Linked DNA regions of Coturnix japonica. The protein of the gene in region 2 interacts with the protein of the main gene of each other region in a pairwise test. Links are inferred from orthologs where the notes say so. Each region holds a gene or a part of one and is shown on either strand. Other genes may lie near its edges. The genes, in order: KPNA5, NUP50, KPNA6 and KPNA1.

Region 1 (6,629 bases), on a different chromosome or scaffold from region 2:
AGAAAGATAAAAATAAAAGAAAAACTAACAACAAAAATAACAAATTCAGGAAGACACTGATGAAAACTGCAGTAAGAAGGATCTAAGAAATAAAGCTGCATTGTAAGCTAGGAAAAAGAAAATTACATTTTGTTTTCCACTATGTTATGTTGTTTGAGACTCTGTCCACCAGTACACAGCACAAAGGAAATGAGGTGCTTTTCCTCACATTAGTTAAGAATATTAAAAAAAACCACAACAGGCTCACAAGGACTTGGAAAAATTGGAAGAGGCTGGGGAATCATAAGGGAAATAAAACACTTTTCCTGGAGTCAAATCAGTGGTATAACAGGTCAATGGGACTTCAGATCTTTTTATCTGAATTAAAATAAAAATGCTGGAGAGGAGGGAAGACGTTCCTAAATGAATTTTATAGTTATAAGACACTGCAAGAAAACAGTTACCTGCTCCTGTACATCTTCAAACTCTGAACTAAGCAGCTCTATGAAGATGGGAACAGCTCCGGTTTCAATTACAACTTTAGTATGTAGAAAAGTTCCAGACGCTATGTTTGTCAGAGCCCAAGCCGCTTCAAACTGTTGTGGAGGAGAAAAACAAAAAATTACCATGTTAAATAACTGAGCGGTAAAAATCAAAACAAAAACAACCAAACACCAAAATTTGTTGCAAGCAGTTTAATACAAGAGTTCCAGAGATTACTTATCCAACTTTTTTCCTTTGCACTCCAATGTAATTGTTACTATTACTGTAATTTCTGTGCCGTAAGATTATCTGTACTAACTGGTACAAATGTTTTTATGCTATGCTCAGTTATTTTAATGCAAATGTGCACAAGGCTACCAGTTACTCTTAATCGTTTTGACACTTGTTTTTCCCAAGATTACTTTCCAAGAGTTTTAGCTTTCAAGTTTTCATGTATTTTTATTTCTTTTGTAAGATTTCAACTGTAGAACAACACACTATTTCCAAGAAAAAAACAACAAACCAAAACTAAAAAAACACCCAGATTCTGCTCAGACATCTACACTGATGCTTTCAATACACCACTCAGGAAATCATCTTGAACAGAATCACAGAATCACCAAGGCTGGAAAAGACCTACAAGATCATCCAGTCCAACCTTCCACCAGTCACCAATAGTTCTCACTAAACCATGTCCCTCAACACAATGTCCAAACATTCCTTGAACACCTCCAGCTTCAGTGACTGTGGGATACTGTGGGAGACAGTGTCAAAGGCTTTGCTGAAGTCTAGGTAGACTACATCAACAGCCTTTCCCTCGTCCACCAGACGGGTCACCAGATCACAGAATCACAGAATGACCTGGGTTGGAAGGGACCTCAAGGATCATGAAGTTCCAACTCCCCTGCCTGGCAGGGCCACAATCATAGAAGGAGATCAGGTTGGTCAAGCAGGACCTGCCCTTTGTGAACCCATGCTGGCTAGGCCTGATACCCCAGTTGTCCCACACATGCTGCGTGATCTCCCTCAAGACAATCTGCTCCATAACCTTCCCTGGCACTGAGGTCAGGCTAACAGGCCTGTAGTTCCCTGGATCCTCCTTACAACCCTTCTTGTAGATGGGAGTCACATTGGCAAACTTTTCAGTCTTCTAGGACCTCACCAGTCAACAAGGAGCACTGTTAGATGATAGAAAGCAGCTCCGGCTATCACCTTCTGCCAGTTCCCTCAGCACTCTCAGCTGAATCTCATCTGACTCCGTGGACTTGCGGCAGTCCAGTTGGAGCAGCAGGTCTCTGACTGCATCCTCCTAAATTGTGAGGGGTTTTGCCTGCTCCCCAGCCAATACTACCAGGTCAGAGAGTAGAGAACCCTGAGGATAACTGGTCTGATCTTTAAAGAAGGCATTCAGAACCTCTGCCTTTTTCCTATCCTCAGTGGTCACATTCCCAGACTCATCTAGTAAAGAATGGAGGTTCTCCTTAGTCTTCTTACTGTTGATGTATGTATCTGTAAAAGAGCTTCTTGTTCCTTTTTACCCCAGCAGCCAGGTTGACTTCAAGCTGGGCTTTTACCTTTCTGATTTTCTCTCTGCACATCTTAACAAGTTCTCTATATTCTTTCTGAGTCACCTATCCCTTCCACAGTAAGCAGATTCCCTTTTTCTCCCGAAGCATCAAGAATAGCTCCCTATTCATCCATGCTGGTCTTCTTCTCCGCTGACTCATTTTGCAGCTCAGAGGAACAGCCTATTCCTGCACCCATAAGACCTCCTTCTTGAAGAGCGACCAGCTGTCTTGGACCCCTTTACTCTCTAAGATTGAATCCCAGGGGGCTCCCCCTGCTAGTCTTCTAAACAATTCACAGTCCGCCCTCCAGAAGTCCTAAGTAGCAGTTTTGCTGCTCCCTCTCCTGGCTCCACTGAGAACAGAGAACTCTACCATTTCATGGTCACAAAGGCTGCTTTCCACATCCAAATATATGACCAGCTGAATACATCACCCTAAAGACTACTAAATTCACAAGACTTGAGCTACAATTCCAGTGGCAATTGTTAAAACTTAGGATATCTAAAACTTACAGCTTTGATGGATATAATTACATTTTCATATTAAAAATAATAATATTAAATTTACAAAATCAGCATGCTTTCCAAAGCTGTTTTCAGGTTTTCTAACCCCATTCCAAACCCTAAACAAGTACCAGCCAAACTCACTTGCAGCGTGTAATTCTCACTCCTCTCGAGAAATTTCACAAATCTCTGTACTACTCCTGGTTTTTGGATGACTTCATCTATGGGCGGGTTGGGCTCTGGGGGATAAAAAGAACAAAAACAATTCACATGCATAAGACTAACAAAATAAGACCACTGAAATTACTTTTTCGGTATGACACAAAACATGAGTGATTCTCAGAAAACATACATTTCTAGCCTTCAAACAGTTTAATCCCAAGAGCAGGACTTTTTTTCCTTCATAAGACTGCTGGATAATCTCATAACGTGCTGTAATTTAGTGATTGCTCTATTCTGTACAATAACACACAATTGCCTATTGGCATTTAAGCACAACACTCTTCCCTCAATCAACAGAAATACAGCTTTAAATAATCAAGTATACTCTTGTCTAGTAGACTGTACAAATAGCAGCATGAATTTAAGACGATGTTTTACATGAACAACAACAACAAAACAAAATTACACCCATTTTTGGCAAGTCATATCACTTTTATCCCCTCAAACACAGAATCAGAAAATCTATTACTGCAAGACATACTTCAAGTAATGTTAGTGTGTCACTGTCAGTTACTGCCCTGTATACTTATATCAAAATATCCTTTTCTTTGTTATTTAGTCCAGAAAACTGAACAACAGAACAATAAAACTTTTTGTATTTAGTCATTAGGTTAGAATAGACGTGGACCTGGTTTTGTTACAAACAAACTGAGAAGCTTCTGCAAGCTCTATTTTAAGGTAAAGCAAAATTCAATGTTGACCGACTCTGTTTGACTAAAATTTGTAATAATAAAATAAGAGGAAAAAGAAAAATTAATGCTTGCATACCTTTAGATAGCAGTTTTCTGAATTTCTGAGTTGCTGTGAGTTGCTGATCAGGATCATCCGAGAAAATCATCTGTACCATATCTACTGTGATAACTTCCTCCTAAAAAGAAAAGGGCAGCTTTGTAGGATTGGCACAAACACATTAACACAATATTCTAGACATATCCTAGAGTGATTACCTCAGGAATAGGTACAGTAGAGCTGACGTCGGGATCCTGAATTGGACTTTCCACCATAGATTCTTCATTTCCCGGGAGAGAAACATTTCGACGTTTAAAGAGCTGAACAAAGAAGAAATGTGGAGAAATGTGGGGGAAGTTTATCACAGAACAGGTACTGATTGTTACTTGAAGACACTGGCTTTCACCTGTACTGGCCAAAGCACTTCAACCACTCACTTTCCTGTTCATCCACACAAATGGAATTCTGCTTTAAAGTTTAAAATTTTCAGATTATGTGACCTTAAATGTTCTCTGTATCCTAAAAACATTTTGGTATTGGCTTCAAATACTATCTATGTTTAAAATACATACCTGTGCTGCGGTATTTAATACGTTATGCTTAATGAGTGGCTCCTCATTTTCTAGCATGCAAACCTAACAATCATGTTAGCCTGCTTACTTCCACAGACCAAACCTAAAGTATGTACCTTTGATTTAGTACTACACTTACAACTATAATCATTAACAATTCTATGAATAACATGCTGGTAACTTTAAAAATAAGTGTTAGAATCTCAGACCACTGAGTGTCTCAGATTTCATCAGTAATCACAATAATAAAAACTCCTGCTAAGTCCTGGAGAAAGTTTTCTTCATAAAGTTGTCTACACACATCTGCATTTCTGTGGTCACACGTGCCCAAAACCAAACAAGCAACACCAAATTTACATGTAATTATATTACAAATAGGAATCTAAAACAAAGCATTCTCTCTCCTTTGCTTGATCAAACTCTGGATTGGGCACAAACCTGGACCCTAACAATTGCACAGTCCTGAATCAATGTTCCTCTTTTAGGAAATCAGCCATTCTTCCTAGCACTCAACAATGCCATACAGGATCTTGTAAAAACGTAAATGACAAAAATGTAAACCGTTTCTGTCCAGGAAGACAGTCTATCTATGATTTATAATTTCTTCTGGAGCAAAAACAGTCTCACTTCCCTACACAAACTTGATCCAAACAGTGCTAAAGGAGCTGAAAACACCAGTCAATTATGGCCAAAATATTCTCAACAACATTCAGTGCGGCAAACAATGTTTTTCTTTTTGTTTTAATAAATAATTTGCCTACGGAGCATTTATTACAAAATACACAGAACTTTCAGCAGGAGCTGCAATTCAGATCAACTCAATCACAGGTAAACGCTCCTGCAGCATACTTCTTCTTACTCTTACCTCTCTGGCCCAACTAATATAAATTCTTTTTCCATGCAGTAGCACCACTCTCTCAGGAGAAGGGTAAACATTCCCACCTCACAGGAGACTGTAGATCAGTGCCTGGGATTCACTAGGTGGTGGGAGACAAAAGTCAGCCCCTTTAGAGTAAGAAGAACAAGCTATATTCCTCAATTTCCAGGCAATGAACTACCAAATATTCTGGGAAAAGGAATTACCACCAACCATGAAATTACACATGAAATCACTAAAAAATAAAAATCAATAAAGACAACTTAAGTTAAAATATATGTAAATTCATGTTTACAGATCACTGTTTGTTGGCCACTTCACTAGGCTATGGTAGAAAAACTCTTGGGCAATCTGAAGTACATCCCTCTCACTTCTAATAGTGCATCTCTGGCTCAAACTTTAGAAGAGAATGAAGGTTTTCCCATTCTTACCAGAAATAAGGTTAGCCTTTCAGCTCAGTCTTCAGCTCACATGTTGAAAATGAGACTAAGGACTAGATTTAAGAAACACAGGTCTCTACTTCAAATGCCACAGTGACTTACAGTGCTTCTGTTCACCTTTTTGATTTATAATCCTACTGAGAGGTGCCTGGTGCTTCCCAAGACTGCATAGAAAACAGACTTAATTTGGTGCTCTGGCTTGTACTTCACAGAAGGAATCTGCTCAGGTTCTTTTACATATCTGAATTAGGCTGCATGAACACTTAACAGCAGCTTATCAAGATGCTTACTTGTTCTTCCCTTTTCTGTTTCCGAAGCTGGATTCCTTCCTCTTCTCTTCGTCTGCGCATTTCTTGAGGATTAAGTGCATTATTTTTGTAGCTTTTCATTCTGAAGTTATCTTTCCCTGGGCTTGACATGATGTCTATTAAAAAAAAAGAAAGAAAGAAAAAAAGAAAAAATAAAAGAATTACTCCAAAACGTCAGAGCTTGAAAGGCAAACCTACCATCTCTCATACTAGAAAAGTATCTAAAGCAACAGCTATATACTCCAGTAGCTGCTGGCAATACCCAGTTCATGAACAAAAATCTCCAAGAGAGAAATAAGAGAAAAATCTTTGCCTACACAGGCATTTCTGAATTGCACATTAAAGCACAGGTCACTTCAGAGATCAGGCACCTCATTAAGGGGCATAAGCAACAAGTTACTGATCTTATGAGCAAAATGAGACAATAAAAGCAAAACCACCAGGTTGCTCAATTTTGACCTAATGGAAGGAACAATTGTCTGCCACCATCAGCAAGTACAGGAATTTGTTTCTTCCCTCAAATCAAATCCCAGAAGAAAACCTGCTGTAATTACTGCTCGATTTAATGCCTCACTGCATAGAATAGGTTCTTCATTATTTTTTTATACCTTTTTAACCACAAAAACACAAAACTAAAGGCTATGCTAAATTTCCTTTTAATTTTAATACAGAAAAACTCTACATGAAAAAAAAGTATAAATGGCTAACAGGATCCAGACAAGTATTCCCTTGCAATTTAAAATAATAATATGACTCATCCTTAATTAACAGCTCATTTGATGTACAAGGAAGATTAGAATCTGCCTGTCATTTCAGGCATATCAGCTGCATAAAGAAAAGAGCAACACATGATTATGTTAAATGATCAAAACTGACTGAACAAGGTTGTGAACAGCCCAGTGCTAATATTCAAAGCTAAAACTGTCACCTTCATTCAGAGAAGCAACT
Region 2 (7,369 bases):
TTGCAACTGACTGGAACTATGATACTAAAGTTCAGTGATTACATTACCTCTGATGCAACATTCTGACGCTTTGCTTTTTTAATAGCTCTGTTCTTCAGGACTTCCTCGCTAGCCACTGAGAAGGTTCCCACCTTTGAGATAAAGACATGGAATTATTAGTGTAACTCTCAGAATACACTGATTTGTCATAGCCTGATGAGATGACTGAAACCCTGAGATACTTTTTGAACAGAACTGTAACAATTCTCATTAACAAGTAAGAGAAGAAATTAGAAATAAAAATAAAAATGAAGAACATTACAGTTCTACTATTAGCTTGCCAGGTGCTTGGATATGATTAGCTAATATTTCACAGCTCCGTTCTTCCTGTTCTGCATTTAATTTCCCTTTATACAGACTGCAATCTCAATTTTACTATTGCAAGCAATTCAATTGCTGTTTACTATGGCAAGCAAGTCAACAAGGAAACTAACTTTGCTGAAGGTACTCTATCAGTAACAGCTACACTGTTACAAACCATATCCAGTTCAGAGAAGGTATATTGAGATATGTTCCACAGTTCAAGTAGTGGTAAAGGCAGCTAATGTGCTAAATGTGCTGAAGTGAGGGTGAGGGAGCACTGGAACAGGCTGCCCAGGGAGGTGATGGAGTCTCCTTCTCTGGAGATATTCAAGACCCGCCTGGACGCCTACCAGTGTGATGTGGTGTAGGGAACCTGCTTTGGCAGGGGGGTTGGACTCGATGATCTCTAGAGGTCCCTTCCAACCCCTACAATTCTGTGATTCTGTGTGAATCTAATCTATAGTTTTACCTCCTCAGCTTCGTCTTCTTGATCCCAGTTTCTGTCGGTCAGTTCCTTTTCTGCAATTCTCTTTGCCATTTTTCCACACCTGTAGAAAAAAGATCAGAAATGCAGAGATTTAATTGCCCGGTCATTCTAAGAAGGGAATCTTCAACTTCTGTTATTCAGAACAAGTAACTGGAATCAGAGTTCACAAAGAACTAAGTCAAAATTAGAACAACATTTGGAAACAAAGTGTTTTTTAACATTTGTTGCAACAACAATCAACACAGCACATGAAACTGGGATTGTGGTTATTAGCCGTACTTGATACTAAAATCAAGCAACAACAGAAATATGCAGTTCAGTCACAAAGTTATTTTTCTTCAGCAGTGGAGCAAGCTAGAAAAATTCCTTTCAGTCCTGTATTCCATCCCTTGTCACCAATTAGGCTGATGGGCTGAAAAAAAACAACGAACACATATAAAAGGATCTAGCTAAAAGATTACATATCCCAGTCCGTCTTCCTTCAGGATAGCTGGTAAAACCTAACAGCTTTGCAAGAGAAAAGTTTCTTGCCAGCACCTATAATCAATATACTGATAATGACTGACTAAAGCCAGTTCACTTTGGGTAAGGATGAAAACAATACCCTCCTACAAAGAACCAGATTGCTAGGACATTACTATTAGAATACTGACAAATTCTATTGCAAATAAATGAGACAACTTACAGAGGTTGTGACTGAGAGCCATGAATTTCACAAGGCAACTTATTAGGATCTTTTAGAAGGGCGGAAGCAAAAAGCTGTTCTACGTAAATGCTTTAAAATGGCATAAGCCCCACTTTGCTGGGGAAAAGAAAGAGGTCCTACCATGTACTACATGATTCTCTGCAGACGAGGGAACTGGTTAAATTAACCCAATGAAAAATAACTAAAAATACTTATTTTACAATTGTCTCCCCAGTGCAGCTTCCCACAAGGGCACACAAACACTTACCAGCAGAGGAAGGCGAGATTGCATTTCATTGGCAGCGACCACAGCTCAAAAGCTCATGAGACTAACCTAGAGTTACTCCATCAGATTCCACACAAGATCACATTACCAGTCCTAATGACAGCCACTGAAGCATTACAAGCGCTATATTAAACAGAAAGCCTGTTCTCCACTATGAGGAAAAAGTGGGAAACTAATTGGCTCAGGCTCCAGGTTCTTTATACCTACTTGTCTTCACATGATCATTGCAGCCTTTCAATACCTGAAGGGAACTTACACCCAGGAGGGGAGTAAACTCTTCGAAAGGGCTGATAATAGCAGGATACGGGGAAATGGTTTTAAGTTAAAAGAGAGAAGATTTAGGTTGGGTGTTAGGGGGAAGTTCTTCACTAGGAGAGTGGTTAGGCCCTGGAACAGGCTGCCCAGGGAGGTTGTGGATGCCCCGTCCTTGGAGGTGTTCAAGACCAGGTTGGACGGGGCCCTGGGCAACCTGATCTAGTAAATGTGTATGTTTGGTGACCCTGCCAGGCAGGGGGGTTGGAACTACATGATCCTTGAGGTCCCTTCCAACCCAAGTCATTCTGTGATCAGTGTGATTCTGTGTGATTTCTCTAGGTCACGTCTGAAAATAGGAGCTGACAAGAGAATCTAACCTATATGAAGACAGCAGCAAGAGGATTCTAGGCATTTCTAAGCTGTGAAACAGGAAGCAATACAAAACGAGCTCTATGTTACTTTTTAGATGCAGCCACAACCTTTGGCAGTTTTCTGTCACAAGCGCAGGTTTAGATGGGAGAATTATGAGAAACAGCTTTTTATTTAAGAAGCTCAACACGTGCTTTGTTGAGCTACTACGACCCACTGAGTTAAGGCTGTATTACAAGAACTTCTCTTACATTTCACAATCTAACTTCTACAAAGGGGGTTAAAAAATCGGCACTGTCACAACTTACAAGCTCAGTAGCGGGAGCTACAGAAGGCACCGTCACCCCAGCAGTGCTCAGGAGCCTTAAGCCAGCTAAAGTGGGGCTGCACGACCAGCATTATGGAGCTTTTTGCAGCCCTGCTCTTAAGTGGGAAGCTGCCGCCGCCTTCCATCAGGTCCGGAAATCACAGGGCACGGGGCAGCTGAGCCAGGCTTCCTCAAACAGCGTGCTGTTTCAACACGCCTTCTGTCTCGTCGTTTCCTCTGTAAACGCCTATAGCAGCAGTCTCGCAGAACACCGTCGGTTCTTCACGGTGATTAAAGCCCTGTGTTCCTGTGCAGCGCAACGTATTCCTGCCATCTGCCAGCGCAGTTCCTCTAAACGCCACCCGCCCTTTAAAGTCGCGAGCCTACCCGTTGCCCGCACACCTTACAGGGCGAGCTGGCTACCCGGCCTTACTCCCGCTACCGACGCCGATCTGCTTTTTAATCCGCCGGCCTCTTATCGGGGTGACACGACCACAACAGGGCCACCCCTCTCCCCGCCCGCAGACCCTCCCCGAGGGGAGGCTCCCACGCGGCGGGGCCTTCAGGGCCGGCCGGAGCCGCAGCGGGCAGGCGCCAGCCCACCGGCAACGGCCCCCGCAGCCTCAGCCTCACCCTGCCGCAGCGCCGCGACAGAGCTGTGCCCCGGTGGCTCAAGTGGTTAAGGACGCCACTTTGCAACACCGGAGCCCCTGGGTTCGAATCCCCCCTGTGGCGCAAGTGGTAGAAGTGCCGCTCTGCTACACAGAGGCTCGAATCCCGGGGGTTGGACTCGATGGTCTCTAAGGTCCCTTCCAACCCGCACCAGACTGTGATACTGTGATACTATGAAAAGACGGGAGGGGAGGAGGGGAGGAACTGCCACTCACCCGCGCGGCCCGGCGGCCCGGCCCGATGACTGTCGTTCGCCGCGGGGCCGAAGCTTCGGTTGGCGAGCAGAGCGCGTTCGCTGGTTGCCCGGCTCCGGAGCCCCGTCACCATCCCCCGCCGGGGCCCTCAGCCGCCCGCTGTGCCTTCCCGCAGTGTGGCAGCCCGCCGTCAGGCCGCCATTTCGTGCCGCCCTGAGCCTTCGGAACCACACGAAACACCGGCCCGGCGGTCGCACCCACCGCGCATGCGCAGCCCGCCCCGCGGCCGCAGCTCGAGGGACGGAGGAGGCGGAGCAGGCCGCTACCCCGCCGCCAGCCGTTGGGATGCGAGACACGTGACCTCCGCGGCCCAATGGGAGGCCTCGCTGCGACGCTTCTCGCGGGAGGCTGACCGCTCCTGCGCGTGGTCGGCGTCTCGCGCCGCTCGTTCGAATTGCTCGTCACGTGACGTAGCCGCGCTCTTCCTGCTGCCGGGGCCGGTGGCGGCAGCGGAGCGGTGCTGCTCTGAGGGGGAGCCGGCGCCTCATGGCATTAGTGTGCCACGGTGGCGCAGTGGTTAAGGACGCCACTATGCAACACTGGAGACACGGGTTCGAATCCCCCCCTGTGGCGCAAGTGGTAGAAGTGCCGCTCTGCTACACAGGGGCTCGAATCCCGGGGGTTGGACTCGATGATCTCTAAGGTCCCTTCCAACCCGCACCAGACTGTGATACTGTGTGTATATACTGTGATGACTCGGGGCCCAGCTGCCCTACATTGCCTGCACTGCCCTGCATTGCCCGGCTGGGTGTAGCTCCGCTGAGTCACGGCTCGCTGCACTCAGGTCCGGCTTGGAGCGGCAGCAGTTTGCTTGGCTGACCTATAACTTGTGGTATGATAGCGATGGGGATTAAGTCCAGAATGAAGTAACAGCCTGCCCCTATAGCCTTGACGGCAGTGTCTCCAAACGAGTTTGCATCATGTATAGCGACCGTATAACCTTAAGAGGAAAGAGTAACAGCGAATGAAAGCTCTTAGAACATACTATTCTATTACAAATTCAATACTTGGAAGAGGAAAAAAAAAAAAAGATGAAAACTCTCCCACTAGATTACGCTGATTTTTTTTGTCAGGCACCCTTAAGATTCCTGAAGCAGAGGTCTGTTCCACAATACAGAGGGTGGTGATGCACTGGAACAGGTTGCCCAAGGATGTTGTGGCTGCCCCATCCCTGGGGGCATTCAAGGCCAGGCTGGATGTGGCTCTGGGCAGCCTGGTCTGGTGGCTGGACACCCTGCATGTATCAGGGGGGTTGAAACAAGGTGATCTCTGAGGTCCTTTTTAATCCAGGCCATCCAATAATTCTATGGTATATTGAGTATATTCAAAATATACACATGCAAAACTGAGTTCAGATCTTTGTTCCCGGACCTCTCTCTCTAAGTGTGAAGGTTTTTTTCCCTGACCTTCATGTTGTTTGCCTTGCTTAGCCCCCAGAACACAAAAATTGCTTCCTTCTATAGGCAAGTTCTCTTTTCATTGGGCATATTCACATCAAAAAATAGGTGATTTAATGAAGTGACACATGCAACAAGTTTGGAATTGCCACTGATAGATGCAATAGTGCTAATGTATGATGATAGTGCTGGCAAAATAAGTGCTACCCTGGGTATTCTTCACCAAGATGTGATGCTCAGTACTTACTAAGAGGTGTCCCATCTCTTATCTCATCTCTTTTCTCTCCTCCAGTCTCCCTTCCTTTCTCTTCCCCTCTTCTCTGCCCTGATCTTCCCCCTAAAGATACTTCCCTTACAAGAGACCGAGAGGATCTCTGAAGATGGTGATGTTTAACATGATTTGAGTGGACAGTCAAGTAAATAGTCATATACGTTCAGCATGTTGTTCTTAGAGCTTATAAGCATACTCAGAGGTGTTCATTTTAATATTAAATTTCACAGTAAATGCATAACTCTGGGTTTTGCAGCCTTAGAGATTTTTTGCTGAAGCTGTATATCTGCTTTTTCTTGAAACATTTAGCCAAAAGAGAACTGTCCTTCCACTGCAAGACTCCCACTTTTGGCTGCTTTTTATGCCAACCTTGCAGATTTCCATCCCCAAGGTTTACACAAGAGATAAGCAGGCACCAGCATTTTTAACCCCTTATGTGCAAGTCCCATGTTATTCACCCCATAAATATATAGTCACTCGATTCAAGGTCCAAATCATGTTTGCATGAATTAAGACCAAGTGTTATCCTATATGTCTGAATTTTCTTTCGCCCTACCTGGATGCAGCTCAGATTCAGGGACACCATGCACGCTTAGTGAATTAATGCACTGATTAGCTTGGATTTGGCACATATACCAAACATAATAATCAAAATTGCTGCAAATAACAATGCTATAAATATTATAAATGCAGATTGCAGTAAAGAAGCAAGACATCCTTATAGTGGGAATCCTATCAATAATGTTGATAACTGCTGAGAAGTGCTGCTGAGTGATGCTGAGCTGCCTGCTTGGTTAAAGCACAACACAGTCTCAGACTGTGCTGTCATCCTGAGCCTCAGACAGGTGAGTGCATAGTCCATGTTCCATCACTGCTAACCTACACAGCATGTCCCATAGAGTGTATATTGAGTTCTGAACAAATTATATCACACATTATATATATATATATATTATATATTATATGTGTTGTTTTTTTTTTTCCTTTTTTTATTTCTATTTTCTTTCAGTAGCCAACTGAGAGGTCAGTGTTGGCCTCCCAGTCTCCCTGAGCTGTGCTCTGCCACGCAGTGGGTGCCTTCCAAGCACCACTGCCAGGGTTGCCTCTTAAGGTTCACAAAGGGCACTGTGAAGTCTTTGATAAATGGCTGCAGCACCTGCAACAAGGCCATGTGGTCAAGCCTTTGCATACACGTGAAGCCAACAACAGTGCACTGTCCTGCAAGCACCTCCCATCACCCATCCTCGGAGATCCTCTCATTGGAGCCAGTGGAGCAGAGGTCTGAAGTCTTTTGGATGTTCTTAGAAAAAGGCAGCCCCAACCTAAGGTGGGAAGTTATGCTCCGAAGCGAGAAGCACCGGTTCTGCTGACCCCTGCTCATCTTGCAGGCATAACTTGAATGTGCTGTGGGCTGCAGGACAGGACACTCAATATATTCATCGTCTGACCTCACCAAATATTGGATGGTTTTTATCTTGTGTTATTTTGTGTAACAGCACAACTTAGCTGCTTCTTTGCCCGCCAGAACACACAGCCATAGCAGGGCTGGTAGAAAAAGGGAGTTACATAGATGACATCATCCCAAAGCTGACAACAGACAGGCAGGTTCAGCTTGATGCCAAGTCCATGGCTAGAGGATGTGTTGTGGGCAGGAGAGAGCTGAGGTCAGGAAGCTACTCCCTCACTGGTGCTGCAGCAGGCAGGTATTACAAACAGCAAGATACATAGGCTGCAGTCACTCACTTCCCCAGGAAGAGGCAGCAGCAATGCCTCAATCCCTCAGCAGCAAACCCTCCCAGCCCTTGCTCCCTACCATCCACCCTTGGGGCGAAGTCCCAGCACCATACTCTGCTGCTGAGAGCATGCCCTCTGGGGTCCTGACTGCCTGAGTCTGGCAAAGATGGGGAAACGTGGGTGGTGCTGTGGGATGGGCATCAACAGCTGCTGGCAGTCCTACAGTGCAACCCAGTCAAGGCCTTGTTCAGTGATACAAGTCTCACAGATACACTCAACTGAAGTTCAGGCATGAGTCCATGCTGAACTC
Region 3 (7,259 bases), on a different chromosome or scaffold from region 2:
TGTCTCCAGCAATGTTCCCCAATGCCCAGACAGCCTGAAAGGAAATAGCAACAGTTTTAGCATTCACACAGTTCCTGAACAGAGGAAGAAAAAGGTGGTACGCTAAGAAAGCACTTCCCTGTAACTCCAAGAAACAGACTCTTCAGCTTGCGGGCTGCAGCCAGCTGCCAACTAGTCACTCATTTTAAACACTGAATTTCAGTCACGAGTGGTTTTTTCCCCTAACCCCAATGTATGAAGTGAACCTTACCTGTTCTTGAACGTCCTCAAAGTCAGAGTTTAACAGCTCTATAAAGATAGGAACTGCCCCGGCCTCGATTACTATTTTCGTCTGTTGGGAAGTTCCTGATGCAATATTCGTCAGTGCCCACGCTGCTTCAAACTGAGAAAAGCAGAAATGAGAGGAGCATGAATAAAGCAACCCAGATGCAGCAGGACATGCTTCACCATACATCACACAGTCCACATCTATTGGGTTCCAGACATCACCCATCTCCCATAGCACCCACAGGTTTAACAGTCTGCTTTACCTGTAGTGTGCAATTTTCACTTCTCTTCAGGAACTCAACAAATCTGTCCACCACTCCTTGAGTGTTTATCACTTCGTCTATTGGAGGATTTGGCTCTGAAATAGCAACGCAGTGTCAGAACAGTACACAGGTCTCATAAAGGTGAATAACACACACAAGCTACTATTGACCTGAGCGGTCTCAAGCTGTACTGATGTACCGTGGTACATCATCTCTCCAGAACAGCTTTCAGTAAAATTCATCCAAATTTATAGCAAGTTTCTACATTATGGCCTTCCTCAAATGCGACGCTTCAGTACAACACTGCAAGTACACGAACACTTAAAGACAAGGCTACATCAGACCCCATGGTGGGATCTTATCTTTACCTTTAGAAAGTAACTTCCTGAATTTCTGTGTGGTTGCCAGCTGTAGATCGGGGTCATCGGAGAAAAGCATCTCTACCATCTCTCTTGTGATCACTCCCTCCTTAAAGGGTGGAAACAGAACAGTGGTTCCGTGTCACATTTCAGGTATCACAGTCAAGACATCCTACCACAGTTTTGTTCTTAGCTCATGATCCAAAGATGCACTATTTGAGGTTAAAACACACTGTTTGGATCCTGGCACATTTCTTCACTTGGTTGTAGTAACATTTGCAACGTATTCAACAGCAGGAAAACAAACAGGTGAAGGTTTGTCAGTTCTATGCAGGCCACAGCATGAAGCCTGAAGGCATAAATGCAACAGGGAAAGGCACCTTACCCCACATGTCGTGGAACTGACATAGGAATCCATAAGGAGGCTATCGAACATGGAGGCATCTTCATTGATTAATTCCACGTTTCTTCTTTTAAAGAGCTGGCAGAGAACACAGCACAGGAGTTATTAGAAAGCAGTGTTTGTTTAACAGTCGTCATAACTAGATGTTCCTGCTCCTCAAACGAGATACCGTCAGCCATGAACTAAGTGCAATCCAAATCAAAAACAAGGAGTCATTCATAACAGCCCTGCACACGGAGGACTAACTTGGCACACAAACCCCAATAAAACATGCTGAGTCTTGCCCTCAGATACGCAAATCCCAGCTCAGTGAAACACTGGCATTTGCAAGTGCAGAATTTGGCCTTACAAGATGGGAAAAGCAAGAAGAGGGCGGCTCGTAGGTGATGCAACCGCTCAGTCTGAGCCACGTGCATCACCTGGGAATCACCTCTCACTTTCATAGACTTCCAAGCCAAAAAAAAAACCAGCTCAGAGTCCAGAAGTAAGTGCAGTCACCTCCACCTACTTGTCTCACTTCTTGGAGCAGGAGCTCCATTTACTAATCAACAAAACCAACAACTGAAATTAAAACCAAGGATCTGTGAACAAAAACCTTTAGTACCCCAAAGACAAAGTGCTGGAAGAGCTCTTCATGTGAGCCACGTTCTGTACCATGTGCAGAAGAACAGAGATCTCAGGACAGAGATAAACAAGGACTGCCAACAAACCTTAATGCACAGATCCCTGAAGATTCCAGTTATGCAGCAGCACAGTCTTGATTGCGTTAAGGCTGTACACAAACTAGTCAAGGTGAGAGTTACCTGTTGCTCTCGTTTCTGTTTGCGCAGTTGAATTCCTTCCTCTTCTCTCCTCCGACGCATTTCCTCAGGATTGAGGGCTTTGTTTTTGTAGCACTTCATTCGATAGTTGTCCTTGGCAGGACTCGCCATGTTGTCTGTGGAGAGGAAAAAGAGCCCTCAGGATTCTGGTCACACTCAGGTGTCCCCTTCAAGCAGAGGAGCCAGCACACACAGGTGAAGCAGTGCCTCTCCCAATTGCTTGGTGCTGAAGTACAAAGCTGTGCACTGGAATGAGATCCTGACATCAGCTCCAATGCTGTGTTGTCATGACTAGTATATTGAGTTTATAGGAAGCAGAGCAGACTCACTGTTCTGAAAGGAACCCGGATCCAACTTGATGGCACTGAAGCACGTTACCAATGTGTTACACATTGGAGGTGTGGAGGCACACAACCAACTCCAGTTCAGCTTCCAGCACCATTTCCCTCATATGCCCATGACATAACACACACCTCAGCACCTTCCCTGCACTCAGACACTGACCACAGGCTGCTGTGGGCACAAGCAGGTGCTCACTCAGTAACTGCACTGACTGCAGAGCTGTAGAGCAGGCTGTGAGAGCAGCAAAACACAGACATACACACATGGCAGAGATCCAACCGAGCGCGCAGTAAACAGGCCTTTATCTTACAATTCCAGTTAAAAACATTGCAGAAAGATGAGCTGTATGTATCATAGGCTGTGTTTGTCCTGCCAGATTACTGCAAGTGTTCAGCACCTGACCTACTTCTGCTGCTCCGTATCTGACTAAGGCAGAACTGCAGACCTGATCCCATTGCTCCTACCTCCTCCTCAGGGCAGTGACAAGGTACAGTGTGAGCACCCAGCACCAGCCCTGCACAGCAGACACCAACTGCTCGGCTGCATCCAGCTGCACTCCCCTGTTCTGGGCACTCAGCTTCCCCTCTCCCCCATTCATGAGAAAGGCTGCTGGACTCCAGCTCCACGCCCTTCACAGCACAGGAAGGAAGCAATGATAATCCACAGCAAACTGCCAATTAACCCTGAGACCAAACGGCTCCTCCCTGGCAGCCAGCTGGACAGCAGCACCTTTATCTCCTTCCACCTGCCCTCAGCTGCTGCAAGAAGGATCCCATAAAAGTTTGTGGCCCCACCTCAGTGTCCGCTCTAAGTTCGAAGCAGCCGAGCCACGCTGCTCACACAAAATCCAACCTGACTTATCAGCTGCCCCCAGCCAGGCTGGAACCCTCCCAAGCTCAGCTCGGGATGCTGTGCACTGCGCTGCTATTGAGAGCGCTCAGAGCCACGCTGGGAAAGGCACACAGCAGCCACACGTTCCCACTTTGTGGCTTATATATAAAGTGTAACCCCTGAGCCCAGCCCTGTCTGCACAGCAGCACTGCTGGACAAGGGCTGCAGCCAACAAGTCCTGCATGTCAACACCTCTGGGATCACATCACTGATAAAAACAGCATTTAAAGCTGGGCTTTAATCAAAGTAATCCATATTGGGAATGGTTTCAAGTGCTTTGTGAGCTGAGAATTCCCTCACAGGAATCCCTCCTTTCCACACACTGCACCACGAGGATGTATTTAGAGGATGTATTTAGTGCCTGCGGGACGGAAGGAGAAAGCAGGATGGGAGTTGGATGGGAGCTGGACTCAGACTGAGAGCCAGCACCAACTGCAGCACTGGGCCATAAGGTAAATCCAGGCTCACTGCTGACCCGCCAACACCATAACGGCCCCTTAGCACTGAATCAGAAACCCGACCCCACTTCTCTGCCCATGAGGTTCCTCCCACCTCCCTGCATTACAGAGCATTGGCTTCAAAGACTCGTTCAGCTGCTGATTAAAGCTCCCAGCTGAGTCACTGCAGGAACTCGCATGCCTAAATCAGGACTGTGCTGCTGAGTCAGACCGAGGGGTAGAACAGAAACAGTTACACTGGGATTCACCACGGCCCTTCCGTGTAAAGCCTCAACACCCCAATGCAGATGATCCTCCGAGCTGCCCGTGGCTGTTCTGCTTCACCTGCTCACCTCAAGTCTGAGTAGCAGCAGCAGAGGCTGCTCTGAGCCGTGGGTATAAGGCATGTCACATCACAGCTTTCTTTAGCTGCTCCTTAAAGCAAAGCTGAAGTTCCATGAAGGTTCTGCACAGCAGCAGCCACAGACCTGGGAGGATTCCCTGATTCCCCTGAGCTGCACCCGCAGCATCGCGGCCATTTCAGCTGACGCTGCAGAAATCAAAGCCGAAATAATGGGTGCTCCTTAAATACAGAGCAAACCAAGGCAGCAGCAGCAAATACATCCCAAGAGTTGAGCTGCAGCCATCCCAGCTGCCAACACACAGCAGCCAGGAGCACAAACTGGTTCCTGGGAGCTCCTTGTTTCATCTCCCTGTGATTTCCATAGTCCTGCAGTGAAAAGCCCTGCACGCTGTCAGTGTTTGCACCCAGCAGCAGGAACTGCTTCAGAGCAGCACAAGATGCATCATGGAGTGGCTGTGAGACCCACTTACACTTCAGCTCCTGCTGCCCTGGAGCCGGCGGCTTTAGGTCCTGTCTGTACATCACAGGAGCACGATGATGTGTGATGGAACACAGCCCCAACAAGGAGCGTCCGTGACACCCCCGGCAACGAGGATCAGCTCCGTGTGTCAGCTCCATGCTGCAGCGTCCCGGCCCCAAAGCGGCTCCAAACGGCCGAACACAGCTCGGGATGGGGAGATTCTGCTGCTCCGCCAACGAGCAGCACCGACAGCGGGATCCGCTACTCAAAGATCGTGTTTGCTCACCTCGACTCGAGCAAATAAAGCGAGACGGCCCGATATCCACCGGGACCCGCCGGGAAACGGCCCGTTAAACACCGGGACCCGGCAGCCGGGAGCGGGACCGGGCCGGCAGCACCGCGCAATGAGGGCCGGGAATGTGACCGGGAACGGGAACGGAAATTAGAGCTGGGTTATGATAAAAGTCAGCGGAAAAGTTAAAGATCGAGACGAGGAACGGCGGAACGGGGACACCGACACCGCGGGGACACCGACACCGCGCCGGGACGGACCGAACGGCACCGGAACCGCTGCGAGAGCGCGGGGTGAGGTTCGGGTTCGGGTTCGGTCCGGGGGAACGGCGGCACCGCGGGGCAACGAACGGAGACCGGACCGGACGGACACGGAGCGGAACCGCCGCCGAACTCCGCCCCACGGGACGCAGCCGGTTCCGGAACCCGAACCGACAGCGGCCAACGGCACCGAGCGGAACCGCGGGACGGCCCAAAGAGCGACGGACACGGACAGACACAGACACACACGGACACACACGGACACACACGGACACACACGGATAGACACCGACAGACACACGGACACAACCGACACGCGGTTCCCGCAGCTCCGGCCGCCGCCGCCCCGGAGCCCAACGGCCGCGCTGGGGCTGCCGGCCCCGGGCTGAGTCAGTGCCGCCAACCGAGCGCCCGGCAGCGCCAAGTGCGGACACGGCCGCAGCCCCGCCGTCTCGTACCGTACCGATCCCGCCCCGCCCGGTCCCGCCGCTCTCACCCATCGCGGATCCCGACACGGACGTTCCGGCGGCGGCCACAATATGGCGGCGGCAGCGGGAGGGCGGGGAGCGGCGGACGGCGGCCGAGAGGGACCGCGGCGGGACGAGAGCGGAGAGCAACGCCCCGAACGGGGTCACGGGGCGGGGCCGGGCTTCAACTCGCGGCCGCGGGTCCCGCGTGGATCCTCGTGTCCCGCCACGTGCCCACGCGCCGACACGACCCCCCCCATTGCACCCCCCAGCCCCGAGCTCCGTCCCGGGCCGAGCTGAGCCGGGAGCGGCGGCCCCGGGAGCCCACGGGACGCGTTGGGCCGCACGGCCGGACACACAAGGAGCAGCAGGCGGGGATCGCGTTAGGATGGGCCTTTCTTTACAAAGTGCATAAACATCACGGGCCGCTCAGGTGCTGCGGGGCCGGCAGTTCCCTCCCATGGCGATGAACACGTTGATGGGGATGTGCGGCAGCGTCAGGCGGTGGTTGGCGGGACAGCGCCGCAACTGCCTGCGGGGAGACAGGGGTCAGAGGGACGGCACAGCACGGCACAGTACGGCATAGTACAGTACAGTACAGCACAGTACAGCACAGCACAGTACAGCACAGTACAGTACAGCACAGTACAGCACAACCTGCAGCATCACAGGAGCCCCTTTGGACCCTCACCTGCCCGCAGTCCACGCTGTGCCCACCCGTTGCTGTGTCTCCAAAGCTGCGGCCGCACTACAACAGTCGCCCGCCTCGATGGGGAACCTCCGGGCCCGCGGCGCTTCCTGGGAGCTCATGGCCCGGCCCGGTTTTCTCTGCACAGGGAGAAGCAGCTGGGAGCTGCAGCGGGGCCTGGCTGCGATCCCGGCACCGGCACCTTCCTGCTGTGAAGGAGCCCGGCCTGGTTGGGCTGCAGGCGCCGGAGCAGCTGGACACACTCAGCTCAGACGTGAGGCCGCGGTGGGTCGGTGTGAGCACAGCTCTGAGCTCATGGGCGCAGCCTGGGGTCCCCTCCCTGCAGCAGCAAAGTGTTGTGTGAGCAGCAGCTCCTAAAGCCCCCCCGCCACACCCCGATGAAAACGGGAGAGGAACAGAATGGACCCTGTGACCCCCCTGTACTCACGGTGCCCACCGAGCAGGTCCTGCCCAGCACAGCCCAATTCCCCCCTGCCTGGCCGAGCTGTCGCCCACTTTGATGCACCTCCGTCATCTGGGATTCATGCAGCATCGGCTGCATCACAATAACACGCCCATGCTACAACAGGCGCCTCGATGCCCCTTCCCACCAGGGCAGGAGCAGGGCCTGGTGGCTCTACACGTGCCAACAGGGAGCACGGGGAGCCCCTGGCTGCTGCGATGCTGTTGTCGAGTTGCTGGGGGTAAAACTGAGATTGAACGGCCCCGATTTGTGAGAGGACATGGAGGAGTTTTTGCTCGCCAGCGGATACCAGCTCGGCCAAACCATTGGGGAGGGAACGTACTCCAAGGTGAAGGAGGCCTTTTCCCAAAAGCACCAGAAGAAAGTAGCAATTAAAATCATTGATAAAAGGGCGAGTCCAGAAGGTAAGAAGTTGCCCCTGAAGAGCTCCCAGGTACCGACCCCTCCTTGGAAGCTTTTAG
Region 4 (7,247 bases), about 4.7 Mb from region 2:
ACACCTCCTGTTGTCTGAAAAACTGACTCAACCAGATGAATCTGCTGAGGTTCTATCCGCTTCTTTTGCGTATTTATTGGAACCCAGAGGCATGTGGGAATGCTCATCAGTAAAAATACAGGTATTACTCAAGGGACAAGGGTGTCTTCTAACTTCCAAAATCAGAAAATTTCTTTAAAACTCAGGACATGTAGAAGATGAAAGGGTATTTAAAGCCACAAAAAGCTATTCTTTATGTACTACACGGCCAATTTCTAAAGCCTTAGCTTAACTTTCTCCAGCTATAAAATGGAATTGCAAAACAAGTCTGAAGCACTATAAAGTTAACAGTATTTGTAAAGACCTGCAAAATAAGTTCTGCCGACGGCATTTCAAAACCTAGTGCTAACACAGAAGTGAAATGCTCATGTGAATTGAATCTCCTATGGCTTGGGAAAGCTGCAGCAGCAGACAGGAAGGCTGCTGAGTGTAGAGAAGGACAGACCTCAGCTCCTGAAGAACAGCAGGGACACACATTCCAGCAGATATCACAGAGGAACGATGGAGAAGAAACAGAGGAAATATCTTCAGAGAAGGTTTAAAGCTCCTGTAATCTAAGAGAATGTAACATTCATAGTTAACCATGGAAGGAATACACAGCCTTGCCACAGGGTCCCAAATCTTGGGAGTCCGCTGTGAAAAAACTGAAGTAGCACAGAGATTTATGCAGGGAATTGCCGTGCATCTCTATCTTTCAGATCTGCTTTATTAAGTACCTATTAATCTCTCCATGATCAGGCCTTAATTCGCTGCTGCTTCTGTCCTATCTTATAAACCCTTAAGACAGCCAACTATGTACTAACTGACTTCATTTATAGCAAACGCGGTGTGTTTTGCCTCTTTGGCCACTCAGCAAGTTGGGTTGCTGCCTATCCAAAATGAGGGCAACCTTAACGTTTAAGACAATTAATGCAAGGCACGGTATATCTAGTATTTCACAATACATTTACCACCACTACAATATTTCTGACTTTTTATGTTCCGTTTTGACTTGATGGGGCAGCAGAGAGAGCTTTAAAAGTTCTGGAAAGCTTGAGAAAGACAGCAAAAATCCTAATTCTCAAAGTCAGGGGAACTTAAAAGTTAAACAAAAAAAGTCCACAATTCATTAACTGAGCCTTTCTGAACTGAATAACAAACACAGGATTCCTCTGCTGCGTACAAAGTCATTGCAGTGCAAACAAATCTGTTTAAATGAACGCTGATTTCTATAACCCCGTAGTCCACAATTAACTTGAAACCAAACAGTTCCCACAAGCCACAGAACAAAGGAACTGGTGATGGGGAATTAAGTTTTTAAACACATAGGATTATAATACCCTTAAAAAAATAAAACTTCATGCTAACAGGCCCCTCGACATGAAATAACCAAAGTGATTATTCCTATGGGCCGAACTAAAACATCGTGTTTTTCTTGTAAAGCAGAGATTCCTCCCTGTACTAAGAGAACCAGCTGACCCACAGAGTATTTTCCATACAGTTATACCTAAAAATTGGGCCATCTGAGATAACAAGTCATCTGCATCACTTGATGGTCATCATCTGCCATAAAAAAGCTGTCCCAATATTACCAATGTGTCCTGAACATTCTTTGCTAGAGAACAAGTGTGGTGCTTTCAACATTCCATTGCATGGGGATAGGAAATCCCACATATTTTAAAACCAAATTAAAAGCAGACTAAATTAAGTTCAATTTGTAGTTTAAAGCAATTTCCACGTGGAGTTGTGAATGGCTGAAGACACTGAAATGAAATTTATGTCCTCAACACCTTCAACAAAAGGACTGGCTGCAGTGACTCAGCATTATGAATGGTATGAAATGTGCCCAAAACTCTTCCAGGCAATTGGACTTCAACAGCACAAAGTAACAGCAAGCCCAAGTTATGAAGAACATATCTGAGCTTCGGACATTGGCAACTGGAAGAGTTGTGTAATATTAACATACCAGCCACAGCAAACCAAAGCCCTAGGAACTTTGGGGCTGGACAACACAGGCTCTGCCTGATGGATGCCCTCGGCACCCAGCATCCCTCCAACTGCAGCCTAACCATAGTGCCCTACCTCTAACAACCCTCTGCTAAATCATATCCCTGAGCACCACATCCAAACGGCTCTTAATCACATCCAGGGATGGCGATTCAACCACCTCCCTGAGGAGCCTATTCCAGTACTTAACTACCCTTTATCCCATTTGAAAGCTGCTTCTATGTCACTGAAGTCCATTTACTCCTGCGTTACACAAATGGATTAACAGAAGCAGAAATGCTAGGACTTATCCAACACTACTTCCTATCGCTTTTTCACACACACCTCCTCCTCGTAACATCCTTTTTAAACCTGAAATTTCTGGGGAAGGGAAATTTACTCTTCATCATCTACTTTATGCTCTATTCTTTCTCCTCATAATGAATTACCAAACGCGCACAATGCTTAATAGAGTTCAAGAAATGTATAACGTGACTTCCAGTCCTTCTGTTCCACAGCCTCTATATTTACCTGAGGCTTCCACCAAGAGTTTTCCTTAAGCTTATCTTTGCTGCTTTCACAGAGTTCCCCCCTACCTTCTCCAAAATAATTCAAAAGCATCAATATTTCCATGGGCCTCAAATCCGGCTGCTTGTGTTTCCTTTTGAGAAAACCCCATATTTTACCTGGATATAAAATAAAGCAATTTAACCCATTACTTGCTTAGCAGACTCCAAAAGTCTTAACAGATCGTGAATGTTTTGGAAGGGGTTTTTTTTTTGCCTTTTCGTTGTTGTTTGTTTTAAGCTTAAGAGCAGAAGAAAATACCTTACTTTCATATCAGCACCACTTATCTCTGAAATTTATACTGGCTTTTTCTTACCCGTTATCGTATTATTTAAACAAGGACTTCTACTTAACCCCTCACTATTGAAGCTGAATAATTCTCTTACCAGTTCAGCTTGTGCTCTGGCCTTTCTATGAGGACTTCTCCAGAAGTAATGCTTCCTATTTTATTATGCTGATTCTCAACCAAGAAGGCAGATGTTGGTGGCATGGCAGTAAAGGTTTGAACCTTCCCACCAACATTCCCTTCCATGCTGTAGCTGCACAACAGATGGCAGCAGAGGGGCAGCCTGACAAAATGGCATCTGACATGGAAGTGTGTATGAAGCAAAGGTGTTTAGTGTACTCTTATGTGAGCAAAAAGTGCCACTCACTGACATTCATCAACACTTGCTGAACGTTTATGAAGACCAAACAGTGGGTGTGAGCACAGTGAGGCAGTGGGTGGTGCATTTTACTAGTGGTGACAGCAGTTCACTGCCACTGGGGAAGATTTTGATGTGTGAAGCATGCAGGCTCTTGTTCACCATTGGCAAAAATGCATAGCTAGTTATGGTGACTACATCAAAAAACACTATTTTGTACCTGACAATTTGCTTTATCAAGACTGTTACTGTATCCTCCTGTAGCTTCTGTGAAAATAAATAGGGGGCATTACTTTCAGAGCAACCCATGTAGCTTGTTTGTCTATTACATCATTCCAGAATCTCCTGTGTAGGGTTTAGAGATACAAAATCTCACCATACTTCACCAAGTGTGTAATTCTTTCAATACCAGATAAAAGCAGTCTAAAACCAAAATACCACTCAGCCTATCTCACTCAACTGGACAAAAAGAGAAGGGATAAAAAGCACTGTTGCATCGTGCTGAAACACTGAAGTGATGATAAGATTGTCAATCTGGTTAAATAAACATTTACCAACTAAGAGCCTTTCAGAAACTGTCACACCACCAGAAACCTGTACAACTACTTGTTTCACAAGTGCCTGAGGAAAGTGGTGCTGAAATGGGCCACTGCTGCCTCTCCCTTCCTGAGCTGCACATTCCCCAGTAAGCGGCAATGAGCTCAATGCACAGGACCACCTGGACCACCTTTTATTCTTCGAAAGGGCTGATAATAGCAGGACTAGGGGAAATGGATCCAAGTTGAAGGAGGGAAGATTTAGGTTGGATGTTAGGGGGAAGTTCTTTACTGGGAGAGTGGTTAGGCCCTGGAACAGGCTGCCCAGGGAGGTTGTGGATGCCCCATCCTTGGAGGTGTTCAAGGCCAGGTTGGACGGGGCCCTGGGCAACCTGATCTAGTAAATGTGTATGTTTGGTGGCCCTGCCAGGCAGGGGGGTTGGAACCACATGATCCTTGAGGTCCCTTCCAACCTGGGTCATTCTGTGACAGGCCAAGTCTGACCACATCAACACAGAAGGCAAAACATCAGAAAAACACAATGGATGGCACACTGAGGGCAAAAATGAACATTCCAGTACAGAATTGCAATTAGGGAGCAGAGATGACAAAGGAACTGTTTAGAAGCATAAGAGGGGGGGAAGCTGGGGGGAGGGAGGGGTTGTTAAAGCTCCAACAACAGTCATGTTCTCCTGAGCTGAAGCACCACTGGATCTTTATGGGAATAAAAAACAACACAGGTCCCCATTCTGAGGACAACCTTCCACATTGAGGTATGTTGCCAGCTCTCACAAGCTGCTCCTAATTTTGTCTGTGCCTATGGGCACATCTCCATGTAATTAAAAGGTGCGGGTGTAGTTCAAGCTGAAGTCAATTTGTTTTGAACTATCTAGTTCACATCAGCGCGATGCAGTAAGTTAGCGGGAAGAGCAACAGAATAAAAACACACAGCAAAGATTAGTTTGAGTCAAACTATTCATTGCTACAGTCTATCAGTACAAACAAGATAGCTTCCATATACCTAGCTTCTAGCTATAACGTTGCAATCCCATCTCCGGATAGCCCACAGGCATAACCAAACTGAAGTTAGTAAGCAGTTAGAGTAGAATATGTGCCAGAGAACGAAAAACTCCAGAGAAACAGAAGCTCCGATCAAACCGAATAAAGAGAAACAAGCACTTGGGAGCAGAAGGAGCAGCTCAGGATTTCCACAGCTCATGACACATCTCTCAGCCCGAAGTTTCAGTTTTCATTAAACGCCCTCAAGAGGCAAAGCTTCAAACCATCCCCTCACATGTGTTTCAGTAGGAGGGAACAAACGCAAAGACTATGAATGGGGCGAGTTCCTGCCGGCTGGAAGACAACCGGCAATTGCGAGGGCCCACAGCACAGCACGCAAGAAAGCAAAGAGTAGCTGGGATAACTTAAGACGGGTTTGCAGCAAGAAGGAACAGCTTTAGCTGAACTAGATAGAAATCGCCACCTCGAAGAACGACGGGCTTCAAAACAAGCGAGGAAGTTTCCGTGCGGCTCAGCCCGTGCCCCGCCTCCATCCCCACGCCGCTCAGTTCCCACAGCCGAGCTCGGCCGCTACGCACTCGGATCCCAGCGCTCCGCCGGCCCCCGCCGGGCCACGCGGTGAGGCCGCCCCGGTGCCTCCCGGCCGCTCTGCCCGAGGCCGCAGCCACCGGCCCGACCCACCCGCTGGGCCGCCGCCCGCTGCCCGCCTCGTGCCGGCGGCTCCGGCCATACGCACGCCGCAGACCGGGCCGCGGCGCTCCCCGGCGCGGCCCCGCTCGGCACCCGGCTGCCGCTCCCCTCCTCCCGGTAGCGGCCTCTTTCCCCCCGTACCTGCGGGCCCGGCCCAGCCCCGCGCTGTCTCCTCTCGGGCCCGAGGCGCGCGAGCGCCGCTCCCTGCCTCCCCGTCCGGCCGGCGCTGGCAGCCGATGGCACTGCGCATGTGCCCGGCTCCATGCGTCAATTCCGGCCCGACCGCGGCGCCCTGTGGGTCGGGGAGCGATTCCGGCACGGAGCGCGCAACGGGACTAGGCCGCGCAGCCGCAGATGAGTCAGTGCGTGATGTGTGTGGTGGGATGGGAGCTGTAGTGCAGTGAGTGGCAGTGGGTTGTAATACGTGTGTATAGCAAAATACGTATGACATGTATCACAGAATTATCAAGGTTGGAAAAGACCTAGAAGATCATCCAGTCCAACCATTACCAATACTTCCCAGCTAAATCATATTCATCAACGCAACATCCAAACGTTTCTTGAACACTCCCATGGTCGGTGACTCCACCACCCTCCTGGGCAGTGCATTGCAATGCCTGACTACCCTTTCTGAGAAGTAATACTTCCTAATGTCCAGCCTGAATATCCCCTGGCACAGCTTAAAACCATTCCCTCTAGTTCTATCATTGATTACACAAGAGAAGAGACCAACCCCCAGCTCACTACAACCCCCCTTCATGAAGTTATAGAGAGCAATAAGGTCTCCCCTGAGCCTCCTCTTCTCCAGGCTGAACAAGACATGTACATGCATATATATTTTTACATGAATATGTACTTATGCATATTGATAGCACAGTGAAAAAGTCACTGACAACACTGAAGAAGCTGCCGTGGGTAAAGGCTGAGGTATGGTTGTGAACTTGAGGGTGAGTGTAAGTGACAAACACAGCAGTGATAATGTCACGATTGGGTGAAATATGGATTCACACATATTCCTGCTGGCCCTGCTTTTACCCGGTGCAGTGGGATGGTATGAAATGGTACCACAATAACACAGCCCTTTCTATAAAAAGGCCACGGAGCCAGACTGCTAACCATATTTAGCGCTACTAAATCACAATTGGCACAGGCAAGCTTTGGTTGTCACCTACTGACATTTTGTTCAGCCTAAAAATGAAAACACAGTTGCCTGCACTGTTTCAGACTCTCAGAGCCAGCAGCGTCTCACAGATCAGAACAAAGAAAGATAAGCCAAAGCGAGGCACTTGTTGCAATTTGGGTTCTCAGAGCTGCCACCACAAAAGGAAGAAGGTGGTGTCTCACCGAGGAGAAGCACTGATATTTCAGCAACCAGAGGGAAGGAAGCAAGGATGCTGGCTCAGTTCCTCTGTCCACACCTTTTATGGGTGGCAAATCCATTGACATTGTTTGCACCCACCGCTGAGGTGACAGTGAAAGCAGGGGATGCAGTGATGGCTGGAACAACCGCAGGTTGATAGGGACACCAGGAGGAGACGAAACATAAAGGATGAGAGCGGCAGGAAATGAAAACAGGGCTCTGGAAAATGCTTTGCTATTTTCTTCTTAATGCCTGGGGCAGAGGACATGGTCTATCCTGCCTCTCTTGCATCCTCTCCACTAAGTATCTCTCCAGTAGTGATAGTGTTAACAAATACAGTGGAAGAAACAGCTCTGAAAGCTGAGCTGCTCAGTCACATGCACAGGTTTTATTTTTAACATCCCCAAACTACTTAATGTTTCTGCT

What was found.
Region 1: the proteins of NUP50 (region 2) and KPNA5 interact in binary tests that used the Homo sapiens proteins (3 or more experiments, as listed by UniProt). The two-hybrid records come from large-scale screens. The link is inferred for Coturnix japonica from reciprocal best matches to the Homo sapiens genes NUP50 and KPNA5.
Region 3: the proteins of NUP50 (region 2) and KPNA6 interact in binary tests that used the Homo sapiens proteins (3 or more experiments, as listed by UniProt). The two-hybrid records come from large-scale screens. The link is inferred for Coturnix japonica from reciprocal best matches to the Homo sapiens genes NUP50 and KPNA6.
Region 4: the proteins of NUP50 (region 2) and KPNA1 interact in binary tests that used the Homo sapiens proteins (3 or more experiments, as listed by UniProt). The two-hybrid records come from large-scale screens. The link is inferred for Coturnix japonica from reciprocal best matches to the Homo sapiens genes NUP50 and KPNA1.

What each region holds. Positions count from the first base shown.
Region 1 is NC_029518.1:57,978,771-57,985,399, forward strand, and holds part of KPNA5 (importin subunit alpha-6), read right to left. Parts: intron 5,798-6,629; coding exon 5,664-5,797; intron 3,805-5,663; coding exon 3,703-3,804; intron 3,624-3,702; coding exon 3,524-3,623; intron 2,773-3,523; coding exon 2,678-2,772; intron 576-2,677; coding exon 444-575; intron 1-443. UniProt on the Homo sapiens protein: Functions in nuclear protein import as an adapter protein for nuclear receptor KPNB1. Binds specifically and directly to substrates containing either a simple or bipartite NLS motif.
Region 2 is NC_029516.1:64,558,746-64,566,114, reverse strand, and holds the start of NUP50 (nuclear pore complex protein Nup50), read right to left. Parts: upstream 3,932-7,369; 5' UTR 3,619-3,931; intron 3,118-3,618; exon of another isoform or gene 2,733-3,117; intron 891-2,732; 5' UTR 881-890; coding exon 812-880; intron 132-811; coding exon 48-131; intron 1-47. UniProt on the Homo sapiens protein: Component of the nuclear pore complex that has a direct role in nuclear protein import. Actively displaces NLSs from importin-alpha, and facilitates disassembly of the importin-alpha:beta-cargo complex and importin recycling.
Region 3 is NC_029538.1:4,553,534-4,560,792, forward strand, and holds the start of KPNA6 (importin subunit alpha-7), read right to left. Parts: upstream 4,921-7,259; 5' UTR 4,766-4,920; coding exon 4,618-4,765; intron 2,690-4,617; exon of another isoform or gene 2,507-2,689; coding exon of another isoform or gene 2,443-2,506; intron 2,230-2,442; coding exon 2,096-2,229; intron 1,371-2,095; coding exon 1,275-1,370; intron 999-1,274; coding exon 899-998; intron 626-898; coding exon 531-625; intron 383-530; coding exon 251-382; intron 35-250; coding exon 1-34. Other genes in the region: TSSK3 (testis-specific serine/threonine-protein kinase 3), read left to right, coding at 7,058-7,202. UniProt on the Homo sapiens protein: Functions in nuclear protein import as an adapter protein for nuclear receptor KPNB1. Binds specifically and directly to substrates containing either a simple or bipartite NLS motif.
Region 4 is NC_029516.1:69,222,358-69,229,604, forward strand, and holds the start of KPNA1 (importin subunit alpha-5), read right to left. Parts: upstream 5,766-7,247; 5' UTR 5,712-5,765; coding exon 5,603-5,711; intron 1-5,602. UniProt on the Homo sapiens protein: Functions in nuclear protein import as an adapter protein for nuclear receptor KPNB1. Binds specifically and directly to substrates containing either a simple or bipartite NLS motif.